2 linked regions of the Arabidopsis thaliana genome follow. The protein of the gene in region 2 interacts with the protein of the main gene of each other region in a pairwise test. Each region holds a gene or a part of one and is shown on either strand. Other genes may lie near its edges.

Region 1 (7,658 bases), on a different chromosome or scaffold from region 2:
AAAAAAAAAGTGTTTTGATTCTACCGTTACGTTTTTCGTCGACCTATATCGTCTAGAAAACGAAACTATACAATACAAGTTAGGCATTATTGTAAGGTATGGTTATAATTTATAACTTATAAATGCACATGTCGAGTAGTAAGTATTTCATAATATGTCGTAGTCTGATTCATTTCAGGTCAACTTTCTATGGGTCACGAGAAAAGACGTGGAAGAGATTATTGGAGAAGGATTCAACGATAGAATAAGCGAGAGTGGGATGATAGTGAGAAATTGGGTAGACCAATGGGAGATATTGTCAGTTTGTCACATGAAAGTTTCAAAGGATTTTTGAGCCATTGTGGATGGAATTCAGCTCAAGAGAGCATATGCGTTAGAGTTCCATTGCTGGCTTGGTGGATGATGGCCGATCAACCGCTCAATGCGAAGATGGTTGTGGAGGAGATACAGGTCGGAGTAAGAGTTGAAACGCAAAATGGTAATGTGCAAGGATTTATGATTAGAGATGAACCAAGTCGAAAGATATCGAGAACAACAAGAATGTTTTGTTTTATTTTATTTTTATTAGTAAATCTGAAAAAATTGTTACACTAAATTAATGGTAACCAACCACGTACGTATTGGCTTTTCAAGACTTATTAATATTCTAATTTTACAGGTTAAAGAACTAATGGAAAGAGAAACGGGAAAAAATCGCAAGACAGAATACTCAAAAATGGCAAAAGTAGCTTTGGTGCAAGGGACTGGTTCGTCTTGGAAGAATTTAGATTTGCTCTTAAGGAGTTATGCAAGAGTAAAGAGCCAAACGGTGCTAATGAGTTGATTGATTGAAGATTGGATAAACTGAACCGGGTTTAAACCAAAACTAATGTTCATTATGTGTATTATAATTCTGTGATATTGAATAATGACTCCGACATATCAATCATTTTTTTTTATTAACTCCAAAATGTTGTTAACGATGATATTTGTTAAAAAAATTGGACAAAAAGGTGATATTTCGGGGACAATCTTGTATATAGTCTACTTTAATAATTAGAGCTTTAACCCACCATGCACATACTATTGTAATTTCTCGATACTTATTCGACAAAATTAACACCCGAGACATCTTAAATGGTAAAAATATTTGATTTTAAGAACCTCACCACTTGAGAGAGTCGGTGTAATGTGTCCGTTTTTTCATTCACATTCTTTCTCTTGTTCAATCTTCACTTTTCCGACAAAAGAGGAAGAAGGTGAAAAGAAGAAAGGACACACATTGCGCCCACTCTTACTCACGTATTGTCTCAATTATTATAAAATGGTTTTCATTGAAAGGTATCTGAATTAATTAAATATTGAGCTACATTTTATTCATGTAGGTGCTTCTTTCTGTTAAGAAAAAAGTAAAAGAAGAAAGGACACATTACGTTTGCTAAATTCTTCTGAAACTAAATATTTGTGAAACAGAATACATATCAACTTTTCTTAAGAATTGTCATTTATTTGAAGAATCAAATATGAATTTACCATTTTAATTGTGGCATTTATGGATTTTGACACTTTAGCTAAAATCTTATGGATTTATCAATTTTTAGAATATATAAATATGATTTTTAACGTATTTTATCCTTTTTATTTAATTTTAGTCAGTTCCATTTATTATTAGAATTTATTATTTGTTATAAACTATGTATTATAACAAAATAATCATATATATATATATATATATATATATAATTTTTCAAAAATAGCAAATCCGTATGATTTAAACAAAAATGCAAAATCCATAAATATCATTAAGAAAAATTGCAAAAAATCCGTAATAACCTTTTTATTGTGAATGTCTGAGTTTGACGAATAATACAAATTAAAAAATACTAGTGAAAGTGGTATCAGACATGTTCATAATTTTGGAAATTACTATTATCATATGCAAACTATCACTATATATCACATCTCATGTTGAGTATAGTGAAAATCAATGTGAACGATATATATCATATAAAATTGTCCAAAATAATAGTTTAAATAATAAATACAATGCATATATTGTTTGCGGGTTTGTGAATATTTCAATTTTCAGTCGTTATGAGTAGAAACAATATTAACTTAGATTTATTGTAGAGCATGTCACAACATGGTAAAAGAAACAACATTATATATAAAAACTCATGTATATGACATATATACTATTGATAAAACACAAGAATAAAAGAGATGATTTTTTTTTGTAGTCCAAAATAGATGAAATTTAATTTGCTTTTTGTTATTGACAAAAACAATATGAAAAGAGGTTATTTAATCATATTAAGTTTTCGCAAGAAGTTATCTCATTGTAAAAAGCTGAAATGTTAATGAAAAAAAGAAGTTGATTATGCTCAAAGTTCACTTGCTGTGTTTCTTTGATTAGCCAAAGATTGCAGTCCAAACTCTCATCTCTTTAGAAAACACATGGTACAATAATTCATATCCCTACTTGTAAATATTATCAGTGTATTAAATAGCAGAAATAATACAAGATAAATATGACTATATGAGTTATTGATGCAAATATAAATAAATAAAAAGAAGAAACAATTTATTATCACCAAAAGAATTAAACAAGAAAATAATACTCTTTGGTGAATCTTCACCTTAATGACTCAGATCAGGTTTTGACTATTAAAGAACATCTTATATATCAAACATAAACTAAACATTAGTATTAATCTTCTGGAGTATTGTGTTTACTCTATATTAACAACCATCACAGAAGTTCATCAAGAAACGTCTTCCCTTTATATTTCTCGACCTTAAATCCCATCTCCTCCATCCGCAACCGCTCTGTCTCGAGCTCAGCGAGCTCTGCTTTCATCTCCTCGACCCTCAACCTCGCCTCCGCTACTTCCTTCTCAATCCGAGCCAAATCAGCTTCTTGAATCTCCATTTCTTGTTTCTTAGACCTCACCAATCCTTCTTGTCTCTCCTTCTCTGAGTCTGTGTTCTCTTGATACTGAGCAAACTCCTCAAGAACCGAACGCATCCAGCCAACGTCGATGTTCACAGACTCCAAGTCCTTGAGAACCGCGACCATCTCTTTTACTTTTAGTTCGGTTAACTGACCCACCGGGGTTGATCCAAGTTCTTGCATCAATGAGCATAGACACTCTAGGTATCGGGATCGCATTGATGCTGATTCTAGCTTGCAGTTTGCTGCTATGTCTCCGTGTTTATCAATGATTGACTGTAGGATTGTGGAAACACTTGAGTTCACACGGTATTTTCCAACCGAAACACATGAGTCTGACATTACTGATATAAGGTCTAACTCCACTCCCTCCTCGTAACCATTGTTTTCATCATCATCATCATCATCATCATTGGCGCATGATCTTGGAGGGCTTACAACATTAAACAAACTAATCTCACTGGCTGTGTCATTCTTGCCACTGTGTTCATGCCCTTGAGGTCGTGGTGATAAGGGTTTCCCACGATCAGCCTGAACAACATTGAAAACAAAACCGAACATTTTAAGATCAAACTCCTGCTTGTAAGAACATTACATAAAACCAAGACTCTACAGGTCTCTAATATATATATCATACACCTACGTAGATGATAAGTAAGAGAGGGTAACTAAGAAATACCATGCTGTTTGGGGATAGAGGAACAGTTCGCGATGGCTTCTCCTGCTTATGGTTAAAAGAATCATTCTGACCGTTGAGGTCAATAGAGATTCCATCAGACGATAAAGAGTGTAAAGATTTGTTCGCTTCTGGAACTGGCGTCTTCTTCATAGCTACTGGTGAAGGTCTTGATTGACGAACCTTTGGGGTATTAGCAGCACCATTCTGATAGTTCCTTGTACTCAGGGGTGACGGTGGCTGTGACTCCGTCTTTTTCTTACCAAAACTCCCCGGAAGGCTAAGAATCTTTGAACCTGTAACAACCAAATCACAATGAGAAAAGAAAGGAAACAACTTTGCAGATCCATCGAAAGCTAAAAAGCCTTGATCAAACTATAACTGTCATAACAGACAACCCTCCAAGAATTATCCTTGAAGCAATACCTAAAGAAGGACAAAGACAGAAATATCCATCACAACAGAAGCATACTCATAGAGTAACGGATCAAACATAGTGTGAGAACAGAGAAAGTACCTTGCTTCTTTGAATTCTTATTTCCACGGCCTTGAGAGATCTTCTCTAAACAATCTGAAGCACATTCATGGAAAGGATTTGAAGAATATCGACAATCCGGGTGAGCTTTCCGATTGACATCCATAGCTTAATCAATATCTAGATTCAATCAGAAACAAGAACTGCAAACAAACAACCAAAACAAGAAGCCTATCAGCATGAATAACAAAAAAAGAAAGAACCGAGCTCATCAAGAACACTAACAAATGTGGCTTCTCGAGTTCAACAAAGTCACTTCAGGGTATGTCAAAAAAGGTCAAGACTTTAGAACCTCAAATCAATAATAAACAAAATGGTTACAAAAATCAAACACTAGCATATAGTTCAACAACTCCAATCTGGTTTCCACCAAAAGAGAGAGAAACAAAGAAGACAACTTTACCAAAACATATACATAAACCACTGTACCAAACAATCCCCACAGGCCACAACAATAACTCGAATCAAACAAAAAACCATAACTTTATTATGGAACATCGTTATTGAGAAATCAAAGCAGACCCACAAAAAATCTCTGTAGCTAGAACAATAAAGCACCGAATTTTACGATCAAAGCTATAAACTTTTTGTCATACACATGAGAAAGAGAGAGTTACCGGAAAATTGGGAATGGTGAAGAAAGGTCTTTAGCAGAGAAGATGGAAGTAAATAGAGATTTTGTAGGAGAGGAAGTATATAAGAAGAAGAAGAGGAGGTTTTGGTCTGTCTTTGCATTACATTTGATTTGACCAAAAGCTTTAAAAAATTGAAGATTCGACGAGATTGACTATTAATTGGAATATTAAATGAGCAGGAGAATGGAGATAGAAGTTGCAATCAATCAAAGGCTTCCAGAAGTTGACAACAAGGAAGCTGCAGAGACGAGAAAAGGGAACAAAAGCAAAGCTGATCCTCCTCCTCTCTCATTTGTTCACACCTACTCATTATTAACCGACTTTTTATTTTAATAGTTTTAGTTTTTATTTCAATTTTATTTGTGGGGACTACTAATTTTGTTTTCTCATTGGTTTAAGATTTTTATTAGTAAAATTGCTAATTTAATTTGTAGTTGGGTGTTATTGGAAGTATGTTTAAGATCTGTTTAGTGATTGTTGTTTGATGGGGTTATCGAGAGAAAGGTTCTCAGCAGCTTAATATGAGGAAATAGAAGTTATCGTTAGATTATCCGTAGGTATTTTTGGTAAATCTCGTTGGTACTGTTTAGTGATTGTTGTTTGATGGGATTATCTTCGTCATTGTATATTTTTCATGTAGTTAGATAAAATAAGTTGCTGAATAATGTGTGAAAGATAAAAAGGAAACAATATGAAATATGGTATAAATATTTGAATGGTGAAAGGTATAATAAACAATACTTGAAATATATTGTGGATAAACATATTGTAAATACAAATGAATTAATAATTAGACATGTTTTTAAAAAGAAATTCTAGAAATTTTAAAATATGTAAGCTTAAAACAAAGCTACCTACACATTCTCATGACCATGAAATTTGTTTATTAGAAAATATTGAAAATCAATACTAACATAGCATTCGACCAATATAAAATCTTAAGGTATATTTATTGTTATTTTACATAGTAAATATGTTAATTTGATTTATTTCTAACATATTAAAAATCCAAATTGATCATTACATTCAACAACAGAAAAATACACTTTAAAACAAACTACAAATCAGCAAAAGGAATAAATCAATTAAAAAAATTCGTAGCAAAAAAAATACATTAAATAAGAAAAAACGTTTTTTAAACTTATCAAGAAAAATACATTATCCAGGAGATATAAAACTTAGAAAAATTAGAGTTTCAAATTATCAAATTTAGTAGAAAATTTTACGTTAGTCAATTCAAGATCATAAGCACTCTTCAAGTTTGCCCACAAGTTGTTTTTCTAAGTAAAGTAGGTATATTATTTAAATTTTTTAAATATTATCATTTTTATGCTAAACATAAATTGTAGTAAATTCTTCTTCATGATAGGTTCTCTATAGACATTTTTTTATATATGAATTGTAGATATTTTGAATATATATAGCAGAAAGCAATACAAGAATAAAAGTTCATGGGTTTGATTGGGAAAAGCTTTACAAAGCTGTACACTTTGTCAAAAGCGTTACAAACAGTTTACTCTCAACTTTTTTGTACAGTTTTCTCCTACAACTTTTTCATAGAGCTTTGCACTATTTCGGTAAAACTTACAGCACCAGCTAACAGATAAAAAACTTGTACATCTTTTTTGAATAAAACGTTATTGCCTCTACTGAAATGTTTTGGTACCTTCAAGTTCCAAGACTTTTGCCTTTTTAGTCTTTAATTTAATCTAATTACTCTCACTCTCTCCAATATCAATCATAGGCACAACAAAAATTTTCTTTAAAAAAAAAAAGCAAAGACATGTGTTGACTTCAAACGTTTCATCCACAATTTGATTTTGAACATTCAAATGCAAAACCCAAATCAACTTAGTTAAATAGTTTTCTAGACTCAAATCTTGACCACTTAATCACTAATCATTAGTCTAATCATGACTCAAATCAACTTTGTAGCTTTGACTCAAATTTTGACCACTTAGTCTTCTTTAATTTAACTAAAATTCTGACCATTAACATATCACAACAAAGAAGTATAGAGATACATACCCGAGCAGAGACGCATTCAGCTAAAGCCGTAGGAACAGTATACATAAGACTAGTAGTCTGAATCAAAATTCCAGTGGCAGCCACAACAAGCTTAGGATTCTCCAAGTATCCACCCATCACAATCACAATCTCATACCACCACCACTCCAAACATATCCCCAAACAACTCCAACATAGATGACAATTGAGCCACCACCGTAGTAGACCCACCATCACCATCACCACTCACTCTCTTCCGCAACATCCCACTCATCCAAACATAACCAACCAAAAGCACAACCATGATCAAATTCGTCACAACAGATGCAATAGCCACACCAAGAACACCCCAATGCTTCACCATCACAAGCCAATAATTCAACGGCACATGGAACACCATAGCTACTAAAGTACACCACATCATTGGTTTAGTCACTCGCTAGGACCTTAGATAAACTCGTAACGGCTGAAGCAGAGTATTGGTAAAAAAAATAGGAAGTGCATAAAGACAGTACTCAGCGGCTGTAGCCGTTATCTCCGGGTTTTGACCCACGAAGAGCATGATGGGTCCAAGGTTAATCCAAAGGACATTCTCATGACCATAAAGTCTCTCATTAGAAAAGTTGATGAACATCATTAATGACATATATTTCTTAATTCATATTCATTCGATTAATATAATATCTTAAGATTCCTTTTGTTTAGTTTATTAAAATATGTTAATTATAAAAAGTTCAAATATGTATTAAAAAATCAAATCAATCACTACAATTGATCAAACATAGAAAACAACAACAACAACAAAAACAAAATAAATGCACCTATAAACAAACTACATATCAACAAAATAAATGCATAAATTAAAAACAAAAT
Region 2 (9,382 bases):
CAAAAAAATTGAAAGTGTTGAGACTTTGAGAGATCGATGTATATGGGTGTGTATATATGTATATTAAGCTTAGAAGGTGACGTCAGGGACGATTCCAAGCTCCTTGAAAACTTGAGGGCATTCAGCGAGAGGAGTCTTCCTCATGAACCCAAGTGGGTTAATGGTTCGAGTCTCGTTGGAGACAATGCCATCATTGGCCGTGAGACTGATTCTGGCTGCGTTTCTTAGGAATTCTTGGTTGTTCACGTCTCCACACTCTGGGTCAGGTGATTGGAGGAGGACGATCTCGCACACTTCCTCTTCGTGGTCACCCATTACTTCCATCTGGTAGTTACCGGCGTTGTCGGTCACGGCTTCTTTGGTTAGGGTCACTGTCTGGTTCTCACGACCCTTGCACTCAAGCTTTACCTTTGCCCCTGATATACACACAATAACGTAATTAGTTTTTCTTATAATCTTGCAACACTAACTCTTAGAAATGTGACTAACCACATTTTTATAAAATTTTAACATTGTTAAAAAGACGTCTATATATGCTTGTAATCATTTTTGTGAATTTTTACTACACAATTCTAACCATTGACCTATATACCATAATGGGATCGATTTTTTATCAACCAATATATTTTGCTATTGACAGTATGCTCAACAAATGAATTTGATTAGAGAATGTGGTTAATTACCCTCGAGAAATTTGCTGATACGGGTGATGAATTGGACACGGCATGTGTCGCAGTAGACGGAGCCCTTGATGTGGAATTTGTCAAAGTCGTCGGCATCAGCTGCGGTGAAGTGAACGAGGGTGGTGAAACATAGGGCAGAGGCAAGGAAGACAATGAAGAATTTGGCCATTATGCCTTAATCCTTTTTTTTCTTGTGTTTTTACTTCGGTCTTCTCCTCTCTTGGATTTGAGAGTTTATTTGTAAAATTTAGTTTTTAAGGGAGAACAAATTGTAAGCTTTGGTTGAGAGGAGACGCTATGATAGATCCAACCAAATATCTCCTTTTATAGAGAACAAATAGACAAAACAACAAAACCATGTGATTCTATATCTATTTTTGGAAGTTTTTTTGTTTATTTTTGGTGTTTTTGTTCTTGAGTTTTGTACGGCTGTGTTTTCCTTGAACCCGATCTTTTCTCATTGCCATCTGTTTTTCTTTTCTGTTAATAATTCTTCATAGATTCCGTTTAGGTCTTTTTTGTATGAGGATGGTTTCCCAAATGTCAATCTATAGAATCTTATGTATGTTTAGACCTCCACTAAAAAGATTCAATGGGGGTGGAGAATTATCTACTAGACCCCAAAGTGAAAGTTTTATTAGTAGTAAATGACTAATTAATCTGAGCCGCACATGAAAGCTTTTGCACAATTTTCTTTGAATTAAGAAAAATTCCAAAAACAAATTGACTAGAAACAAATGTCTTCAGCTGAATCTGTTATTTTGAAGAGTAGAGGTTGAACATATATAACTTTTCTCTTTAAGAAACCTTAATCTATAATAACATCTTTCAAGTGTTGTATCATCAACAAGCTAATACAAGAAAATCATGTACAGATGAATTGGATTGTACTTCTTCTGATTTCGCCAAGAAAAAAAATAGAAGAAGCAAAGATGCGAACATTCTTGATCTGCACCGATCTCCCAAACTGTATGGTAAAAGCAAAACACAGGAATGGTTCAAATGTCGTAGCACACTCAGCATTAACGGGTCAAACACTCGAAATGCTCACGATTTATAAGCTGGCGGTAATAAACGTGGAAGACTCTTGCTGTTTTATACTATCTGCAACGTGTGCAATAACTCCAGCTCCTGCTTTGTAAAGTCTTTCACTTTTCACCTGAAACAAGACTCAAAATCTCTGTTAGTCCATGTTTCAAAGAATTAAAAAGCTCCAAAGTGAAGATGTTGGAAGTTTACGTGAATGTTGTTATGAGCTAAGTAAGGCCAGAAGGTGGAGTGGAAGCTGACATCAACTTTCTTCCACCCCAACCTCTGCAGACCGCGGATCATTTCCTCTGCACCAATATTTGTATAAATTGTAAATCTCATGCCGATTTAGAAGAATCAATCAAATGTTTGGGCTAATTCTACACCTTCCACAATTTCATGATACTCAAGTGTGTTCTGAGGGCTAGGAGAGCTTTGTGCGGCCTCCTTGGCTTTAGCAGCTTCTGGAGGGAAATGGGCACCATCTGATGAAACAGGTGGACAGTATTCAACATCAACAACATGCTTGTATCCATCCAGAGACCGGCGTGAAGGCTATATTAAAACAGGGGAAAAACATATCTATCAGATCTCACTCGTGACAGCTAAATAATTTTCAAAGTTTCATTTGACTGGTTACAAGCCACAGAGAGCTTCTTGCACGAAGCTACTTGAGATAAATGAATTGCCGAAAGTATTTTTGGTGATTCTCTACAGACAATTGTTTCATTTCTTAGACTCTTTACCTCTATGAAACTTTCCCTCTATGATTACTCATAATTCCAAAATTCAGGATAAGTTAGCTACCGTTAGCATTTCACAGCAAGCTAACTATCAATATCGATGACCCCATCATCTAGCTAGTGTGTGCTACACGTTTCAGAGTCGAAATCAACTTACATAATAGAAGGAACATGAAAACAAGTGGGGTAATATTAAATAGAAAGGTTCCATTGCTTCATATAGCATGAAACGTACCTTGATAAGTTCAGTTTCTCTCCTAATGGAAGATGTACGCCAACCAACCATGTCTACTTGATGTCAAAGGAAACAGTTCAGAAAACAAATGCAGACACAGCTAGGCACATCTGTACTAGTTAAACAGCAACAGAAATGCACAGGATACGGTCATAAGATACGTTTGCATATATAATGCGACTTCGAAATGCCCCCAGCGCCGATCTGCCAGACAATGAAATGCATTAGGATTACAGATAAGTCATTAAGGGGTCGAATGATTTAAATTGGTAAGAGCATTACTCACAAGAATTTCAGATCTTCACCATCAGATGCCATCCTCAAAAGAAGAGGTGGTTTATCAGCTTTACCATCAGTGAGGAACAACTGACTACCAGTCCGACCAACAAAGAATGGAGCTATTGGTGCAGCAAGTTTCTCAAGAATAGGAACTCCCAACAGAAAAGGCAGCTGATACAAGGGGTTCCAGAAAAAGAGGAGAGAATGAGATAGAATTTACAGGGATTATCAATTAATATTCATCACTCATCAGTCTAGACACTTAGGGGACCAAATAGCAAAAAACGCAAGACAGTTTTGATGAAACTTATGATATCTGTCTGAACACAAGGAGAAGGTAGATGAAATTTACATGTGAAAAACGACTAACTACTTTCTTAATTACGCATACACCACATCTACGTACAGGTACTGCGAGATATATATGAAACTCTTTGATTCCAAAATTCCAATTATGATAAGTAGAGAAGAAGAGAACCTGCTTTCTGCCTCTCACTCCTAGATGAGGTGTTGCCAAAGTGATGAAATTAATCGGTTCTAGCCCCGCAATCCTACCTCGCAGAAGATTTGAATTGCCAGATTGAGAGACAGCAACATCACTTACTTGTGCCATTGCTGCTGAGTAAAGAACAGCAACAGCATGTCTGGAAAATAAGCCACCGAGGGAGTGGGCTAAAAACGAAATCTTCTTTAAGCTCTTGCTCTTTTGGACAACTTGTCTAACCTATTCCTCTCTCACATCCAGAATGGGAACAGAAATCAGCTCATGTACTGAAGTTAAGGGCTAGAAAACCAAGACCTACCTATACACGAGGTGCAAATGAAGATATTAAAACTCACCTCTTCTGCTAGTCGTTTTCCAGCTCCATCGATCCCGCCAAATGTTTTAGTGAAGGTATTGGAAGAACTTGCTGTGAATGTTCAGGAGAAACAGAGTAAATTAAAACACATCACGTGTGATCCATTCCACGCATAGCATAAAAGCACATGAGTATTATAATAAAATACAAAACTAAAGAAGAGTTGTGGTTCCAGACGAAAAGATCTTAAATTTTTCAAGAAAATGTATATTTCGCCTCTTGCCGCTAAAGATTATATAAGACCTTGAAGTGTTTTCAATTTTGTGCCCAGCACATGCATTCAACTTACGTTACCATTTCATTCCCAAAAATTCTCTTCTATTATACATACAATCCAACAACTACTCAACTAAACTAATAGATGATAACAATTTAGAACAAGATGAGCATACCATAAATCAAGAATCTTCTTCCAAGGCGTCTTTTCAGCTCAGCTTCTACGTAGAGCCAGTCGCTGGGACTGCAAGTAATTGTGTCTTAGTAAATTTGGAGTCTATAAATTATTCAATCTGAAAACAAAGTAGCAGAAATGATAGACATAACTTTCTTTCTTTTTTTTGACAATGATAGACATAACTTTCAAATTCAAATACTTGCAAGTTTCTATCCAACCTAAAACAAAACCATGAGGGTTTCCCAAGATGCAAACCCAGTACCATTCAATTGATGAACTACTTAGAAATAATACCTGGCCAAAATACCATGTACAAGAACAAGAAGATGATCAGGTTCATTTTTGTCATCGGAGTCGCCTTTCGATAGCGAAAATTTCCGTTGGGCTGTGGAACTCATTGCCTGAACCCTGCGTCCCTGTTGGTTCCAGCTTCTGTTTGACCCTTCTTAAAGAAAAATCAAACAAATGAACCCGCGGAAAAAGCTATAAAGAACAGAGCCAATTCTTAACCAAACAAATCATACTATCACCATTTCTACTTAGCTTCTCACAATCATTTAACATGTTCAAGCTTATTTTCGATCGCAGAAACAGGGAAAAATCTGTTTAAATAGACACCGAAATTGTGAGCTCTAAATCAAAAGAAAAACAGAGCCGATTCTTGACCAAACAAACCATACTATCACTAATTCTACTTGGCATATCACAATCATCTAACATCTTAAAATCTTCTATCTCTTGCAGAAACAGGGACAAATCTGTGTATATAGACACTGTAATTGAGCTCCTCCTCAATCTAAATTAGGCGATACTATTCTTCACCATCCTAAACAACGTCTTTGATCGAGAAATCCTCAGCTATGAAACTTTGCAGTACAATGTCAGGTCATTTCCAGATGTAACAACGCATCATTCGATAAACATGAACAAAGTAATCAATCCCTAAATCTACACGACAAACATCATTCGAAGATCAAAGCCTATTACCGAAATCGAAATTCAAAATCTCCGAATAACCACAGGAGCACGAGGATGAAGGCGAAGGAGAAGAAGCGGAAGCTGAAACAACGCCGGAGGAAAACTGCCGCGCGCTGCGAGAGCTTGGCTTAGAGAAACCGCCACGATCCGGTAAGTATCTAAAAGGAGGTTGTTGAATCCAAGAAGAAGCCGTAGACATATTGATGTTGAGCTTATATATAGAGAGAGGAGAGAAAGTCAAAATCAGAGAAAGGAGTGGAAGAAAGATCCTTGATTCACGGTTTCTGAGTGACGTCACGCTTCAGAATCAAACATAATAACTCTCTCTACGTTATCTTCTTCACAGAGACCCATGCTCCTCTCTATCTCTTCCATTCACTGCCAAATAAACATTCAATCATCATCTTCTTCGACTTTTGCCAATTTATATAATTTGATTTTATTACTTTTACTTTATAATTTCGGGTGGTGCGTGTTGTTGTTAGGCGACTCAAACACAGAATATTTTTATTCCGTTTTATATTCAAAAAAAGGTTTAGAATCGGACCAGGTTCTTCTTCTTCTTCATCAACCAATTCACTCCAAAACAAAGGTCAAAAGAATACTATTTACAATTTTTTGGTATATATATATATATATATTTTCTGTTTTAAATTTTTAATCAATACTGCTAGTAGTTTTTTTTTCTTTTTTTTGGTGTAAATGGTAAGATAACACCAAAATATATTTGTCTACTAAACCGAGTAAAATTTTTATGGTTTTTGTAAAAATCCAATTGTTAACTTGTTAGTGATGCTTTCCAAAAAAGCCCTTACATGATATTGTCAAAGGGGTATCTAAATATCATATGGTGCGAATTGGTTATGTATATGTAGTGTACTAGTGTGTCGTCGTGGACCTCGAGGTATCATATGTAACCGGGTGTTGTAGATGTTGTTATATTGAAACTAAACTTTTATTTGGACAAGTTAAAAAAACAAATCAAGCTTAATGATGGATTCATATATAATTTTTTTTTGTTTTTTTGCTAATCTACTTATAATACTGCCTAAGGTATCTTAATCATAAGGATATCATGTCAAGATATCCATTATTGGTCGCAGAAATTTAAAGAGTTCCAATTCCTTTTCACAAAACGTTGCAACAATGTTGCCGCTTACCATTTAGCTAATATGGATGTGTAGATTCACCTTTCTATTTGGATGTCTCTAATCCAGCCCCATGGATTTGCCATCATTTGTACTAGTTTGATATTCGATTAAAGTTAATAAAGGTTCATTTTCGATGAAAAATAAAATCAAAATCTACTTGTAATTAACACGTCTTACACTATAATTTTAGTTTTATTAGCGATAATTTTAAATTTGGTTTTAAAATTTGCATTGAAAATTCAAACAATGTTTCTTATGGAACACGATTTAAGTGAAAAACACATCCCTTTATTTATTATGAAAGTGAGGGAAATACGTTTATATGGAGTAATAAAATGAACATATTACAGTTTTTAAGGTCAAGTTTAAGTTGCAATTTTACCACATGTAAACAATCATAAACCAGGCTACAAAATGTATGATCACTTCAATATAAAAAACCACCTAAGTAAATTAGTTAAAAAACCGGATAAGCAGCAACCTGAGCTATACCACACATTCCTTGAGGCCACTCCACATCTCTACGGATCCTCATGTAACCATTTTCTCCCCAACTCTCACCCCAAGAGTTCTTAAGAACCCAGTAGTTGAGCCCACTCATCGTTCCGTACCCAACGATCGTCACTGCATGATTCACGTCTGTCCCACAGTCCAGCCCAGCGTACACTCCCCCTTTGTAATGACCGAAACTGTCCGCTCTTGCGTCAATCAACACCGAGACGGGCTGTCTTCTTACGGCCTCGAGCAACGCACGCTCGTTGTGGCTTGGAACCATTTGAAACCCTCTAATCTGTGTATGTGGGGCGCGTCTGGCGTTGGCACGACAACTCTCCTTTTTCACTTGGTAAGGGTATTCCGTTTCTAAAGAAACGCCTCCGTTTTTTATTATGTACTTGAAAGCTTCTTCAAATTCTCCGCCATTGCAACCACCGTTTTTCTCTATGTCGCAATCTATTAGCTGTTGTTCGGACAGTGTTAATAGATTTTTGCCAGATATCTTTGTCAAACCTTCATCGCCCCAATCGCTGAGAACGCCCAACAACTTCCTGCCCATGTATATATATATTGGTTACTTCATTTTGTTAGTAAACAAATCATCTGTTAGCCCTAAACCTAAAATAACCCTATCTTGGGGATTAAGTTTAGCGAAATGTATTTTTTTGTATGTGGAATGTAATTTTGACATTAATTAAATGACCAATCCAGCCGTTTACTATATCGTACGTATATTGTTTTCCGACCAAAGAATTGCGACGAATCTGTTTCGTTGGAAATTCGGCTGAAACAAGATGTTCCGACAAATTCTTTGGTCGGAATATGCTATCCTTTCTTGTAACGCTGTTTCCAATTATAGTGTAAAGTGTTTATAATAAATGATCACAGTATTCTTACGACATGCTCCTTGATATTTAACAGGTGTTACAGCTCCTTCGTCTCTCCAGTCTTTGCTTTCGTCTTCCATGTCGATATCACTCATGTTCCAATTCCTTGATGGCTTCGTTTTATTAAATAGTTCGGATAGTGAAGTTACGTTAACGCGGAGGCCGGTGTGGGTCGCAAGGAACTCTTCTGTTTTCCAATCCGTGAACTCGTTGACACCAAGTGTATAGCTTTGGTTCCCCATATTATTGAAGTTCTCAATGAATTTCAAGTTTTTCTTGAACACTTTAAGCCTCATTTCTTTCTCGGATTCATCCTTGTAAACTCGAGAGAATTGAGTCATCCATTGTTGGTGGTAATCAACAATTGATTGCTCGTTCAAAGTGACATGAGGTCTGGCTTGAGAGATCCTTAGATCCATGGAAAGAATGGTTAGAGCCACGAACACAGATCGTACAGACACCATTTCGATTTTTGTGAGTAATATTTAAAGTGTTTGTGTTGTGGTGATGAAGAAGTGAAAATGGGGAGAAAGAGTTTTTATATATATATATAGTATGGAATGAGAATTGTGGTTGAAGCAAATGAAGGTTTATGACTCTATTGTGGTGATTTGCTTTACTTGCTTCATGATCTTAGAGGAATAACTTCTTTCTTTGTTTTGCAAGATAACTTTCCATTCTTTATATGCAAATGTATTGCTAGTAATGTATATATATTTCATCACAATTTCATTTTCTACAAAAAAAAAGATAAGATCTAGCTATATTTTATGTGTACTATAGCAACCTAGCTTAGGTTTTGGGTAGTGTTACATTTGCGTTTAAACCGTACATGGTTAAGGAAACAAATAAATTGAATACTTAAAAAGTTTTAGATCAACTTGATTTCACCAGTAAAATGGAAAAGAAAATAGATATAAATTTTCACCCCAACAAAGATAGTGAATAAAGAAATCCAATACTGGAAAACTATATAATTTTTGTAGTATTTATACATATATATATATACACTTTAAAAAGGGTAGAAATTCATTTTTTCTGATAACTTTTGTTTTTCAACATCTGTGATGCTAAATATAGACTTGTTCTAAATTAATAGCTTTAGATTTTTATTTTATTCTGAAGTAATAATATTTCACAGTTTAGAAGAAATAGTAGTAAATATAGTTTTTATTTTTATTTTAAGTAATGATATCTTAGATTTTCAAAGAAAATTATTGTAAATATCTATACAGTAAGAGAAAAAAATACAAAACTTCTTTAAAAATGAGAAATATATTCGGGAGAGAAATTTAAATGATTCATCCTTTAGCAAGTATTTGCCTTGTGTTTATCACTAGTGAAGAGGGCTCAGCTTGCTGCTTATCCAGTTGCGTAACTAATTTGGTTAATTAGGTAATTTTATTGAAGTGATCATATTCATACACATGTAGTCTTGTTTATGATTGTTTACATGTGGTAACATAGCAACTTAAGCTTGGCCTTAAAAACTATATGGTGCGAATTGGTTTTATAAATCTTTGTTTGATTGAAACTAAACGTGATTTTTTGGTCAAGTTGAATTATGGATCTGATTCATGATTTTTGAATTTCGTTTAAAACAATTGCATGGAAATACAAACGATGTGAAACAAGATCTAAGAGATAA

What was found. The genes of interacting proteins can lie anywhere in the genome.
Region 1: the proteins of AT1G29120 (region 2) and AT2G16900 interact in a two-hybrid assay, tested with the Arabidopsis thaliana proteins (one large-scale study listed by BioGRID).

Annotation. Positions count from the first base shown.
Region 1 is NC_003071.7:7,321,126-7,328,783, forward strand, and holds AT2G16900 (phospholipase-like protein (PEARLI 4) family protein), read right to left. Parts: upstream 5,193-7,658; 5' UTR 4,761-5,192; exon of another isoform or gene 4,287-4,760; 5' UTR 4,250-4,286; coding exon 4,126-4,249; exon of another isoform or gene 3,905-4,125; coding exon 3,612-3,904; intron 3,464-3,611; coding exon 2,732-3,463; 3' UTR 2,490-2,731; downstream 1-2,489.
Region 2 is NC_003070.9:10,170,499-10,179,880, reverse strand, and holds AT1G29120 (Hydrolase-like protein family), read right to left. Parts: upstream 5,695-9,382; 5' UTR 5,401-5,694; coding exon 5,211-5,400; intron 4,669-5,210; coding exon of another isoform or gene 4,666-4,668; coding exon 4,518-4,665; intron 4,290-4,517; coding exon 4,222-4,289; intron 3,881-4,221; coding exon 3,810-3,880; intron 3,694-3,809; coding exon 3,448-3,693; intron 3,141-3,447; coding exon 2,977-3,140; intron 2,895-2,976; coding exon 2,839-2,894; coding exon of another isoform or gene 2,810-2,838; exon of another isoform or gene 2,747-2,809; coding exon 2,691-2,746; intron 2,268-2,690; coding exon 2,099-2,267; coding exon of another isoform or gene 2,070-2,098; exon of another isoform or gene 2,021-2,069; coding exon 1,923-2,020; coding exon of another isoform or gene 1,887-1,922; exon of another isoform or gene 1,843-1,886; coding exon 1,738-1,842; 3' UTR 1,735-1,737; exon of another isoform or gene 1,651-1,734; 3' UTR 1,360-1,650; downstream 1-1,359. Other genes in the region: AT1G29140 (Pollen Ole e 1 allergen and extensin family protein), read right to left, coding at 70-416, 684-852; AT1G29110 (Cysteine proteinases superfamily protein), read right to left, coding at 6,810-7,360, 7,745-8,198.